3 linked regions of the Canis lupus familiaris genome follow. The protein of the gene in region 3 interacts with the protein of the main gene of each other region in a biochemical or structural test. Links are inferred from orthologs where the notes say so. Each region holds a gene or a part of one and is shown on either strand. Other genes may lie near its edges. The genes, in order: PTGES3, PANX1 and CASP7.

Region 1 (4,174 bases), on a different chromosome or scaffold from region 3:
AAGCACTTCATGTAGCCAAGCCTAGCAGATAAAATGCATTTAGAGCTTGAGCTTGAATGTTATTCAATAAACAAATATTTATTAAATATGGGGTTAGGAATCGTTCTGGAGATAGAGCAGTCAACAAAACAAAACTTACATTCAAGTTAAATGTAGTCCAAAAATATTAAGAAATATTGGGGAAGGGGGGTAAAGGGATCAGGTCCATTACTAACTACAGTTTATCTTAATGTGTACATAGGTAACACATCACAACACTCAAACAAAACAAAACAAAAACTTTCTCTGGTTATTCGTACAGCTGAGCTTTGAATATGAGAGTTAAGGGCACCAACCCCTTAACAAAGATGAAAATCCAAGCATAATTTAGGACTCCCCTAAAACTTTACTAATAACCTACTGTTGACCAGACTCTTTATCCAAATGTAAACAATAAACACATACTTTGTATATCATATGTTATACACTGTATATTCTTCCAATGAAACTAGAGGAAAAAGGGCAGCCCAAGAGACGCAGCTAAAGCAGCTGTTTAGCATCGCCTGCAGCCCCAGGGCGTGATCCTGGAGTCCTGGGATCGAGTCCCATGTCGGGTCGGGTTCCCTGCATGGAGCCTGGTTCTCCCTCTGCCTGTGTCTCTGCCTCTCTCTCTCTCTCTGTGCCTCTATGAATAAATAAAATCTTGAAAAGAAAGGAAAGAAAGGAAAGAAAGGAAGAAAGAAACTAGAGAAAAAAAAAACAATGTTGAGAAAGTCCTTAAAAAAAAAAAAATTTCACAGGGGCACCTGGGTGGCTCAGGCAGTTAAGGGAGTCAGACTCTTGTCTTGATCTTAGGTCAGGTCTTCATCTCAGAGTTGTGAGTCAAAGCCCCACCCTGGGCTCCACAATGGCTGTAGAACTTACTTAAAAAAAAAAAAAAAAAAAAAAAGGGATCCCTGGGTGGCGCAGCAATTTGGTGCCTGCCTTTGGCCCAGGGCGAGATCCTGGAGACCCGAGATCGAATCCCACATCGGGCTCCCGGTGCATGGAGCCTGCTTCTCCCTCTGCCTGTGTCTCTGCCTCTCTCTCTCTCTCTATCATAAATAAATAAAAATTTAAAAAACAAAAAAAAAGGGTGTGTGTGTGTGCGCGCGCGCGCATGCCTGGATGGCTCAGTTGGTTAAAATCTTAAAAAAGAGGGCAGCCCGGGTGGCTCAGCAGTTTAGTGCGGCTTTTAGCCCAGGTTGTGATCCTGGGGACCTGGGATCAAGTCCCAAGTCAGGCTCCCTGCATGGAGCCTGCTTCTCCCTCTGCCTGTGTCTCTGCCTCTCTCTCTCCCTGTGTCTTTCATGAATAAATAAATAAAATCTTAAAAAAAAAAATCTTAAAAAAAAAAAAATACACTAACCTTATTGTATTTATTGGAAAAGATTTGCCTAAATGGACCCACACAGTTCAAACCCGTGTTACTCAAGAATCAACTGTACTTAGTTTTTTTTTTTTTTTTTTTAATTCATGTATTCATGAGACACACAAAGAGAGGCAGAGACATAGGCAGAGGGAGAAGCAGGCTCCCCACAGGGAGCCCAATGTGGGACTCCATCCCAAGATCACAACCGGAGGTGAAGGTGGACACTCAACCACTGAGCCACCCAGGTGCCCCAATGAGTTTCCTTTCAAGTTAACTCTTAATGGAGCACCATTATTTTTCTGAATTACAGGATCACTTTGAATTCTAAGATAAAACAATAGAAATCAGAAGACTAGCTTTTTACTAAATCTTAACCTAGTATTTTCTAGGTTTAGAAGTAAACATTTCTATTTAATAGGAAGCTTCTTAAACACTAGATTCGATGATCTCTTATACATCTCAGAGTATCTTTAAACGTCATAAAAGAGGGCAGCCCTGGTGGCGCAGCGGTTTGGTGCTGCCTGCAGCCCAGGGCATGATCCTGGAGACCCTGGATCGAGTCCCACGTCGGGCTCTCTGCATGGAGCCTGCTTCTCCCTCTGCCTGTGTCTCTGCCTCTCTCTCTCTCTCTCTCTCTCTCTCTGCATCTCTATGAATAAATAAATAAAATCTTTAAAAAAAAAACATTTAAAAAAATAAACATCATAAAAGATTATAAAAGAAAAATCATTAAAACCAAGGAAAAAAATCAGCAATAAAGAGGTTATAAAATTCAGAATTACTGATTTTTTTAAAACTAAGTTTGTCAAATAGTCTATTATTTACAAAAAGGAATCAAGACACAGGTAAATCTTTTTTAGTTTGTACTAAGTGAGGAATGATATGGAAACATGAAATTCTGCTATTAGAAAGGAAAAAAGTAGTTCCTTTTTGGACTGGGCTTTTGACTGCACATAAATTGAGCAGTGAAAAGCCCTGTCCACAAATGTCTAAAAATCCAACACTCTTTTTTTTAAAGATTTTATTTATTCATGAGATACACAGAGAGAGGGAGAGAGAGGCAGAGACACAAGCAGAGGCAGAAACAGGCTCCATGCAAGGAGGCCGTGGGGACTCGAACCCGAGACTCCAGGATCTCGTCCTGGGCAGAAGGCAGGCACTAAACTGCTGAGCCACCCAGGGATCCCCAATCCAACACTCTCTTATGCACATATTCTTTCTTCAAACAAAACCCAAGATATGCTTCTCATACTTTCAGAGTATCTGTATGTCAGTTGTACTACCATGTAAAACTTTCTAGATAGGTGATCTGAATACACATGCTGACCCAGTTGCTTCCAAATTACTTGCCAAGGTGCATCAGGGCACCACAAGAAACTTACTGGGTTGCTGCAAGATATTTTAAATTTGAGAAAAATTTAGTGATACTCAACCTCAGTTCAGACACCAGGTGGTTCAGTTTTAAAGCAGACTGCACCACATCCCTCTCCATTAATCTTCATTTCTCCAAAGTTAGAATTTTGGTGTTGCTGTGATTTAGAGGAAAAAAAGGGGGGGTGGGGGGGGAGAAAGGGACCCATAAAAAAAAACAAAACAGTAGAGAACAGAAGTTGAGATAGACATATCTAATCTGAATTCAAGTTATAAGAAGTTATACAGTGCCCAAAGGGCATTCATATTCTGTAACTGTGGTTATTAAAAACAAAACAAAACAAAAAACCTTTTTCTTTCAATTTTTGTGTATTTGCTTTTCAAAGACTACTAGGTTGTTCGGATAAATTACTTAAGTTGTTTTGACCTAACTACCTAACTAACAGAACTGCTAGGTTACTTCTTTTGGCCAGCAACACCATTAAAAAAAAAAAAAAAAAAAAAAAAAGGAAACAACAAAAAACCTACTAAGACATAAAAGGGCAAACCAAGAACATTTGTGAACCTGTGTTATTAGTTCCTTTATTTGGTAATTCCTACTCTAAACGTAAAAGTGAAAGCTGTTCTTAAAGATGGTATTTCTCCCAAGACTTAGCGCCTTTCTTCCAAGCAACTCCAACCTTCCTACACTCCCACTTTTGTGCATTCTTTTAAATATCTCCAAAGCAGATATAGTAATTTTTCTTCAGACAAATAAGACTCAAAAAAAAAAAAAAGAACAAATAAGACTCAAGGTCAACGTTCTCAGTGCCTCCAGTAGAGAAAAATTTCAGAGCCTCTGGACTCCATTATCGTATGTCAAGAAGTGGCACAGGTTTTAACAGAAACAGTTTACATAATAAGACAGAACTAGAGAGACATAGTTATTTCTTTGGAAATAAAAGGATCACTGGGAAATTATTCTTCCTTTCTGTAAAGTGGAAAAAATAACCTTTCTGTCAGAAATCCTGAGTTCCAATTCTATCTAGGACAACTCCTTATACTAATTAGCACTGTGTGAACTAGTATTTATGGAACTTAAATATATACTAAAATTTTTAAGAACACCTGTCTGTGACTTAGAGCCTTCCGTACACAAAGATAATTAAAATGCTGAGCTGGAAAGGACCCTGACAAATACTTTTTTAATAATAAAGTATGACAACATGTGAAGATCAACTACTGTACAGAAAATGCACTAAAGCACATTATGGCTTTGGAATACAATAGGGGGAAGAACATACTACTGCTCAAGGTAATGTGTAAAGTAATTGGCATCTTCCTGAAAAACCAGAAGTTCAAAGGTGTCCTAGGGAAACAGAGAAGTCAGCCTCAATTTAAAATCACTGTCAATCTACACAGTACATAATAAAG
Region 2 (4,188 bases), on a different chromosome or scaffold from region 3:
AACTTGTTGAAAGTGCTTCTGCTTTCTGAATCCCTCTAGTATGGGGGGGTGGGGTAGATGTCAACTTTGATCACCAAGGGTAACCAACTCCCTCCTCCTGGCATCAGGTGCCCAAGACTGTTACTCCTCCATGACAGGGACTGTGCCTCATTTATTCCTGGGCCCTCGGGGCATAGCACTGGGTCCAACCCATAGCTGGTACCCAAAGAACATCTGCTGAAGGGAGAGATTATCTCTAGGACCCAAGCTGCTTGGTGGTTTTCCTTTCTACTAGAAGTCCCAACTCCTGATCATCTGGAAGGCGGAAGGAAACCCCAGGACTATGCCTGCCCAAAGACAAAAAAACTGATCACGTATTCTCCACAATGAATTTGGCAACTTCCTGCCACACTGAACAACTTAGTGCTGTAGATCACAAAATTAAGCTTACCATAACCCTCTTCTAACTAACTCCTCCTGCAACTTCACTATTCTCATCAAGAGTACCACCATTCTCAGGGTACCTGGGGGGCTCAGGCTTCTGACCATGATTTCGGCTCAGGTCATGATCTCAACATCATGAGATCGAGCCCCCGTATCAGGCTCTGCACCCAGTGGGAAGTCTGCTAGATATTCTCTCCCTCGGCCCCTCTCCACCACCTGCTCTGTGCATGTGCTCTTTCTCTCTTTCTAAATAAATAAATCTTTAAAAAACAAAAATCCCCCCCACCATTCTCCAATCATTCTGGGCTGCAGCCTTTCTATCAACTCTGGTCATATCTGCCCTTCATTGCCTATTAAAAACTAGGTACCCAGGTGCCACTTATTGCTCCTTGATCTCTTAGAATTCACCCCTTCCCATCCTTTCCCTTCAAATCTTGGCCCCCATCCATGCACAAGACGTCAACCAAGGCCCCATCTTCTGGCATCTGGCCTCCCTAGCTCCGATTCTCCTCCTTGATCCCAGACCCTACAGGATACCATCAGGCTTATTCAGTACTGTTTTCAACCAGTCCATCCTCTGCTCACACAATAACTTTGCACTTTTAAAACTACCAAGCCTGTACGCCTCTGTTCTAACGGACCTGGACCCATATTCATGCTCATAACCCAAAACTGTGACTAACACTCCTCCTCAGGGAGTATAGTCATTATCTTTCTCCTTCCAGGAACATATATAACATTCTCTGCGATCTCAGAATCTTTTTTTTTTTTTTGGTATATTTTTTATTGGAGTTTGATTTGCCAACATACAGTATAACACCCAGTGCTCATCCTGTCCAGTGCCCCCCTCAGTGCCCGTCACCCAGTAACCCCACCCCCGCCCTCCTCCCTTCCACTACCCCTTGTTCATTTCCCAGAGTTAGGAGTCTCCCATGTTTTGTCACCTTCTCTGATTTTTCCCACTCATTTTCCTTCCTTTCCCCTATAATCCCTTTCACTATTTTTAATATTCCCCCAATGAGTGAAACCATATAGTGTTTGTCCTTCTCCGATTGACTTACTTCACTCAGCATAATACCCTCCAGTTCCATCCACGTTGAAGCAAATGGTGGGTATTTGTCGTTTCTAATAGCTGAGGAATATTCCATTGTATACATAAACCACATCTTCTTTATCCAGTCATCTTTTGATGGACACCGAGGCTCTTTCCACAGTTTGGCGATTGTGGACATTGCTGCTATGAACATTGGGGTGCAGGTGTCTCAGTTTTTCACTGCATCTGTATTTTTGGGGTAAATCCCGAGTAGTGCAATTGTGATCTCAGAATCTTAACAAAGGTCTCACCTCTGCTTATGCAAATTCCACTGTGCTCCACGGCCAGAAGCCAGCACCATTTCTCACATAGGCTTTCCCCCAGGCCCAGCCCCACCGTCCTCTCTTCTCTCCCACCGCCCATCAAACTGTTTCTAGCTGCTTTCCTGCTGACTCGAAAGTATCCTTTTTCTATGCTTCAGCTCTTGAGGAAGACCAGAGAGTCTTATTAGGCAACCACAAGATCCTGCCCCAGACACTGGCACCTCAGACGCGTTATTATGAGTAAACGACAGTCCACGTGAAGGGGGCTTGTTCATCCCCCATTCATAGTAAGGCCGTTCAGATGGAGGATTCTGGGATCCCACTAATACCAGCCAAGGGCAGTCATTTCCCATCATTCACAACCAACCCCCCAGAGCTCAAGTCTCGGTATCGACCAGTGAGATAAAGAAGGGAGCGCACAGCTTTCACGGAGTCCTCTTCTTCACGCCCTCCGCTCAGCCGCTCCGGAACTTCTCTGCTCCAAAATTGTGGATAATTACGCAAATGTGGGAGAGAGAGGACGGGATGAGGAGGCCGTGGTTTCCACAAATCTGATAGCGAGGGCAGGACACGCACTCCAGGGCGCAGTCGGGATCAGCGGGGTGCAGGCAGAACGGGGGGGGGGGGGGGATGCAAGCGGGATCCGCAGGGCCACAGCCTGCACCACGTGCGCAAAGAACACTCGAGGCCATCAGCCCGGGGCTGCCTTTCTACCCCGCGTCCCCGCCACGGGGCGCGCAGTCAGACCACGTCCCGCAGACCCGGGACCGCGGCCCACGCGGCTCGCGCCGCCGCCCGGCCCCGCCCCTCCGCCCGGCCTTACCCGTCGAGATTTCCTGCGCGAAGGCCAGCGAGATGAGCAGCAGCGGCAGCCCCACGGCGATGTACGTGACCATCTTGTCCACCGCCAGCTCCAGCCGCAGCCCCTTGAACTTGGGCTCCGAGGGCTCCTTCAGCAAGAAGTCCGAGAACACGTACTCGGTGGCCAGGTGGGCGATGGCCATGGCCGCGGCGGCGCGCTCAGGCCCCGGGCCCAGGGGGCGGGGCGGGCAGGCCGGGACCCCCGCCTCGGGACCGCGGCGCCGCGCCTTCGCCGTCCCCTGCCGCCCCCGCGGATTTCGCTTTCCCTTTGCCGGCTCCCGGGCCGCTCACACATGCGCCAGCCTTTGTGCGCCGGGGCGCGCGGCTGCCTATGAGGCCCAGCGCCGCCGCCGCGCCCCCGCCCGCGCTCCGCCCCGCCCCCGCCCGCGCCCCCGCCCGCGCCCCGCCCGCGCCCCGCCCCCGCCCGCGCCCCGCCTCGCCCCCGCCCGCGCTCAGCCAGCCCCGAGCCGGCCCCGGGTGCGCTCCCGCCTCGCCCGCCCCCCGCGCCCCGCCCCGCCCCGCCCCGCCCCGCCCGCGCCCCGCTCGCCCCGCCCAGCTCTTCCGGAACCCGAGGTCTTCCGAGCTCCTCCGACAGCCGGGCGCGCGGAGCCGCGGGGGACAGGTGGCCCGCCCAGCACGGCGATCCCCGGCGGAGCAGCGGCGCCACGGAAACGCCCCGCCCCTTCGGCCTCAGCGCCCCCTCCCGCCCGCCTTGCTGGGCCGCGGTTTCCCCGCAGCTCTGCACGGTGGACTCCGCTTAAGAGGAGCTGCAGACGCTGCCAAGGGCCACGGCTGCCCCGGAGCCCAGCGGCCGGCGTGGAGGACGGGACTCTGCACCCTCCGCGCCTCGGCGACCGCGCCCGGGGGGCCGAGCCTCCAGCCTCCGCCGTCCGCGCGTGCTGCCTGTGGGCGCTGCCGACCGCCGCTGCCGACCCGCCTCCAGGAGGTGGAGCCTGAGAAGCGCGAGGAGATGCTGCGGCGGGCAGAACCCGCAGGCGGGAGGGCCCTCGGGCTGCGCTGCCGCCCCCGCCCTTCCCACCCGGGCCGCCCCCCCCGCCCCCCGGCTGCGCTCAGGTCCCTCGCGCACGTCTCCACCTGTCCTAGCCTCCGATCGCTCAGCCAGCAGTTTACACCGCCCTCCGCCCGGGTGGCTCCCAGGACTTCGGACTCCGAGGACCCAGGAACGCAGGCCTTATCTTCCTCTCCGGCTGAACTCCGGTCCTCCCCAGCTGGCGGAAAGCGCCGCCATCCACCCAAGCCAGAGCCTCCAGCGTCGTCTTTAAGCTTCCAGTTCTCCCAGCTGCCATAGTTTGGAAAGTGAATTTCCAAATTCACTTGGTCCTCGCCAAGTGAAAAGGTGATGGTTTTTCTCCACATGCACCGCCAGCACTGGGATTTAGGCCACCGTCCTTTCCCTTTCTCTTTCTCTCTGTATATTCTTTTATTGGACTTCGACTTGCCAACATATAGTAGAACACCCAGTGCTCATCCTTTCTCTTAACCGCATACAGCGGTGGATCGCATAGGCATAGGCGTATAAGCCACTTT
Region 3 (3,633 bases):
GCTCAATACCTATGATTGCTCAAGAGAATTTTTAAAGAAACCCAATACCCTGACACTTGGAATCTTTAATGAAGTTTACAAGGGAAATAACTAGAGTACTAAAATTTTTACTTCCAGTTACAATGCACTTAGGCACATTCATTTCTACAAGAGGTTCCTTTAATAGGATAGTCTGTTTTCCAAAGAACAGCTGATGAATTCTGAGAATGGTAGGGTGGATGCTTGTTGATTCATGATCTGCACTTAAATTTTGTACAATTGGATATTTTAGATGGCAGGAAACCAGAGACAGATCTAATAAACTGGCCGTAAAGTAGTTTTCTTATTGAAAGAAGATAAATGGTAGCCCATTGTGAACAGCTTTATAAGTTAATTAACCCTTTACGTGAACAATTTTAGTTTCCCAAGTGACTGACTTGCTGTTCTGTTAGTGTTCCAGCTTCAAAAGAGACATGAATTATATTTTGTGTGGAGGTCAAGTCAGTGAGGGTCAATCCTTATCCCGTTTTCCCATTTTTTCTACTGCCATAAAAAAACTTTAGAATGAAAGCAAACTGAGAAAAAAAAAAAAAAGAAAAGAAAGAAAAGAAAGCAAACTGAGCAGGTTAGGAATTAAGCAACCACTTTTTAATCAATAAATATGAACATCTGTGTGTTAACCAGTTATTAGGCCAGAATAAAATCGTAACTTATCAAGAATTCAAAAGGTAACCTTGAAAACAAAGTGGAAAAATCTTTGCCATAAACTTTTCCCACATAGAGAATTAGGGGTAACAAAAAATTTACTCAGAATAAGGCTTGGAATAATCTAAAAAATTCCAGGTAGATTTCAAAGCTAAAAAATATTATTTTGCACATAGTGGTCAATACGGAGATTATCGGACAATTCAATGAATAAATGATTGAAGGGAGGAATCGCTGAACCTCAGGGAATAGGTTGACTTATATTCACATTATGGACCATTCTGATACCCACTCCTTGCTCCTGCCTCACCTCACTTGGCTTTGCTGTGCTCTGTATTTGCAGGACATCATGCTTCCAAGGCGCTTGTCAGCTGGCTTCCAGGTAAGGTGGTGGAGGAAGAGTCGAGGGCAGGAGAGATGAAGCCACGGTATTTCTTTACATCTGACTCAACTGGTCTTGCCCCAACTCAGGCAGGGGCTTTGTCTCTGCCATGGCTCCAATTCCCACAATCCCTTGGTGGTCCCGGCTCTTACCAGGCCCCCACCATGCTGCCACTTCCGTGGGCTACCCCAGCTTCTAGACTAAGGGGACCACACCTTTTCATAGCCTTAAGTGGTAACAGATTCCTTTTATTTGGGGTTTCTTTTATCATCTTTGTGGTCAATTTCCTCTATTAAATTTCCTCTACTGAAACACCTGGAATGGTTTCTGTTTCCTGTTTGATACATATTAGAATCATTAACATTTTTTTCCCTTTATCTGGAAAGTTTTGCATGAGAATCTGTCCTAAGCCAATGAAAAATCACTCAAATCACACTCTACCCACTTTCTGCAACACTGGTGAACAGATGCTGTTTTTTTTTTTCAGCCCTGCAATGCTATTTGCCAAGTAGACCCCATCTACCGTGTCACCACCAATCATGGTGGACACAGCCAAGAGTCTGTGGAGGTTGTTTCTGTTGTATGTGCTACATGGAACAATAAGCAGATAAATACAAACAAAAAATTAGTCTTAAGAAGAAATTACAAAGCCATCAAATGGATACATTGTAAAAAAAAAAAAAAAAAAAAAGGAGAGAGAGTCTCCGAAAACATACAAACATAAGACAGCACCAGAAAGTTTCTTTCCTTTTGAATCAATAAATGTTCCTGAATTAAAAACCTTTAGAATTTCTAGGTATTTCAAAAGCATCAAAAAAAAAAAAAAAAAAAAAAGACTCATGAACAAATGATCCATGGTTTTTCAGCAAGAATGCATCCCTGAAATGGTTATCTTTTCAGAAGTAGAGTTCCTTGGTAAGCATGGAGACCACACATGGGATCTGCTTCTTCTCGTGGAAGTGGGGGTCATCCGACTGGGACTCGAAGTGCCTGGCCACCCTGTTGTTCACCCTGGTGAGGATATGCAAGATCTCCAGGCTCTTGCCGTGCTCATTCAGGGTGGAGCACAGGGCCTGCACAAACCAGGACCCACTTCCTGGGCTCCTCCATGAGTAATAGCCTTCAACAAGACAGAAAGGAGAAGATCAGATCAGCTGAGCTGGCCGCTGCCCCATGCACCACCAGGAATGGGCTCTCAGTGTATGGGGCCTTCATATCTGCTTTCCCAAAATTATCTTACTCTTCTCTTCCTGCAAGTTCCCAGTGAGAATTGCGCTGGTGTGCTCAGAGAGCAAACATCTTCAGTTTAGAAGGCTGCAAGGAGATGCTTAACACATATGTTCCTGAATGATACACATCAAATACCTAAGTGTGGATGAGACAAATGGGCACGTGGAGCTTTCCAAGGGAAATGCTGGAAAAGCACTCCGGCACTCTGGAACTCCTCACTGCCCTTTGAGGTGAGAGCTACGTTCTAATCCAAGCTTCCAAGAATTTGCAGAGATCTTAGAGAATTTTGAGATGTGTTCCTGTTGTTGGGGCACACAGAACTGGAGCCTGACTCCTTATGAAGAAATCTGGCAGTGAGAGGTGGCTGGATCACCTACTGCCTTAGGGGTAAAGCCAAGAGAGCATGCTGTTCTGAGGCCAACACCATAAGGGCAAGGGGTGTGCTTCTCATGGACCACATCTGGTCTATGCCAGAAGAAGCTTCCGCTCTGTCTGTCCAACAGGATTTCTTGGAGGGACAAGGAGACCTCAGCATAAAGAGGCTAGTCAAGTGTCCTGGAGGATTCCCAGGAGCTGAGGAAGGAATCACAATACACAGCCAGGGATGGAGATGCAAATCAAAGTCCAGGAGATGCAAGACACAGGAAACCAAGGGATTCGAGAACATGCCCAAGAAGAAAGGACCCAGCTTTAATCATCTCATTGGTACAGAGCACAAGAAGCCAGGTAACCATGCAACTTGGAGCTTCCCCTAACTCTCTTCCCATCTTTGACTCTGAAAGAGTCTAAAAAGGAACCGGCATATGGTGAAGGAGGTGAATAAGGGAAAAAATCAAGGCCCTGTTAGCACCTTAGACCTATAGCAGGGCTGATCAGAACCTGGAAGAAATTTAAGGCCGAATTGGGTTCTGGGTCTTAGTTATTATTTCAGTCTGGATATTCTGGTTACAGTGCTGTGACTGTAACCTGGAGAGAGACCATACTGTCTAATATCTTAGTGTGAGCACCACGGACCTGGTGATGGTCAAGGGAAGACTCCATCACTCCCAACCCCCAGGTGGAAAGGAACATATAAAATAAAATCAAGCTGTATTTGGCTTACATGATAAGCTGTGCTTTGTGCTCCTACTGCCAAGTGGTCTCACCAGTTTGATGAGATTCAGTCAACACCATTATAATTGATAACAATCACTTATTGAATAGATGTACAGTAAGTTTAGGAGTGACCTATGTGGGTAAAGTGACTGAGGCACACTTAGAATTCTTCCTGCAGCACTGAGCACTGGTAACCACCAGTGAGGGGATTTAAGCCCCATGTACCAGAAAGCAATTCGCTT

The links.
Region 1: of the proteins of CASP7 (region 3) and PTGES3, one has a biochemical effect on the other in vitro, tested with the Homo sapiens proteins (2 studies listed by BioGRID and IntAct). The link is inferred for Canis lupus familiaris from reciprocal best matches to the Homo sapiens genes CASP7 and PTGES3.
Region 2: of the proteins of CASP7 (region 3) and PANX1, one has a biochemical effect on the other in vitro, tested with the Homo sapiens proteins (2 studies listed by IntAct). The link is inferred for Canis lupus familiaris from reciprocal best matches to the Homo sapiens genes CASP7 and PANX1.

What each region holds. Positions count from the first base shown.
Region 1 is NC_049231.1:1,253,846-1,258,019, forward strand, and holds the start of PTGES3 (prostaglandin E synthase 3), read right to left. Parts: upstream 2,898-4,174; 5' UTR 2,883-2,897; coding exon 2,824-2,882; intron 1-2,823. UniProt on the Homo sapiens protein: Cytosolic prostaglandin synthase that catalyzes the oxidoreduction of prostaglandin endoperoxide H2 (PGH2) to prostaglandin E2 (PGE2).
Region 2 is NC_049242.1:6,792,734-6,796,921, forward strand, and holds the start of PANX1 (pannexin-1), read right to left. Parts: upstream 2,850-4,188; 5' UTR 2,784-2,849; coding exon 2,603-2,783; intron 1-2,602. UniProt on the Homo sapiens protein: Ion channel involved in a variety of physiological functions such as blood pressure regulation, apoptotic cell clearance and oogenesis.
Region 3 is NC_049249.1:24,923,700-24,927,332, reverse strand, and holds the end of CASP7 (caspase-7), read right to left. Parts: intron 2,187-3,633; coding exon 1,963-2,186; 3' UTR 606-1,962; downstream 1-605. UniProt on the Homo sapiens protein: Thiol protease involved in different programmed cell death processes, such as apoptosis, pyroptosis or granzyme-mediated programmed cell death, by proteolytically cleaving target proteins.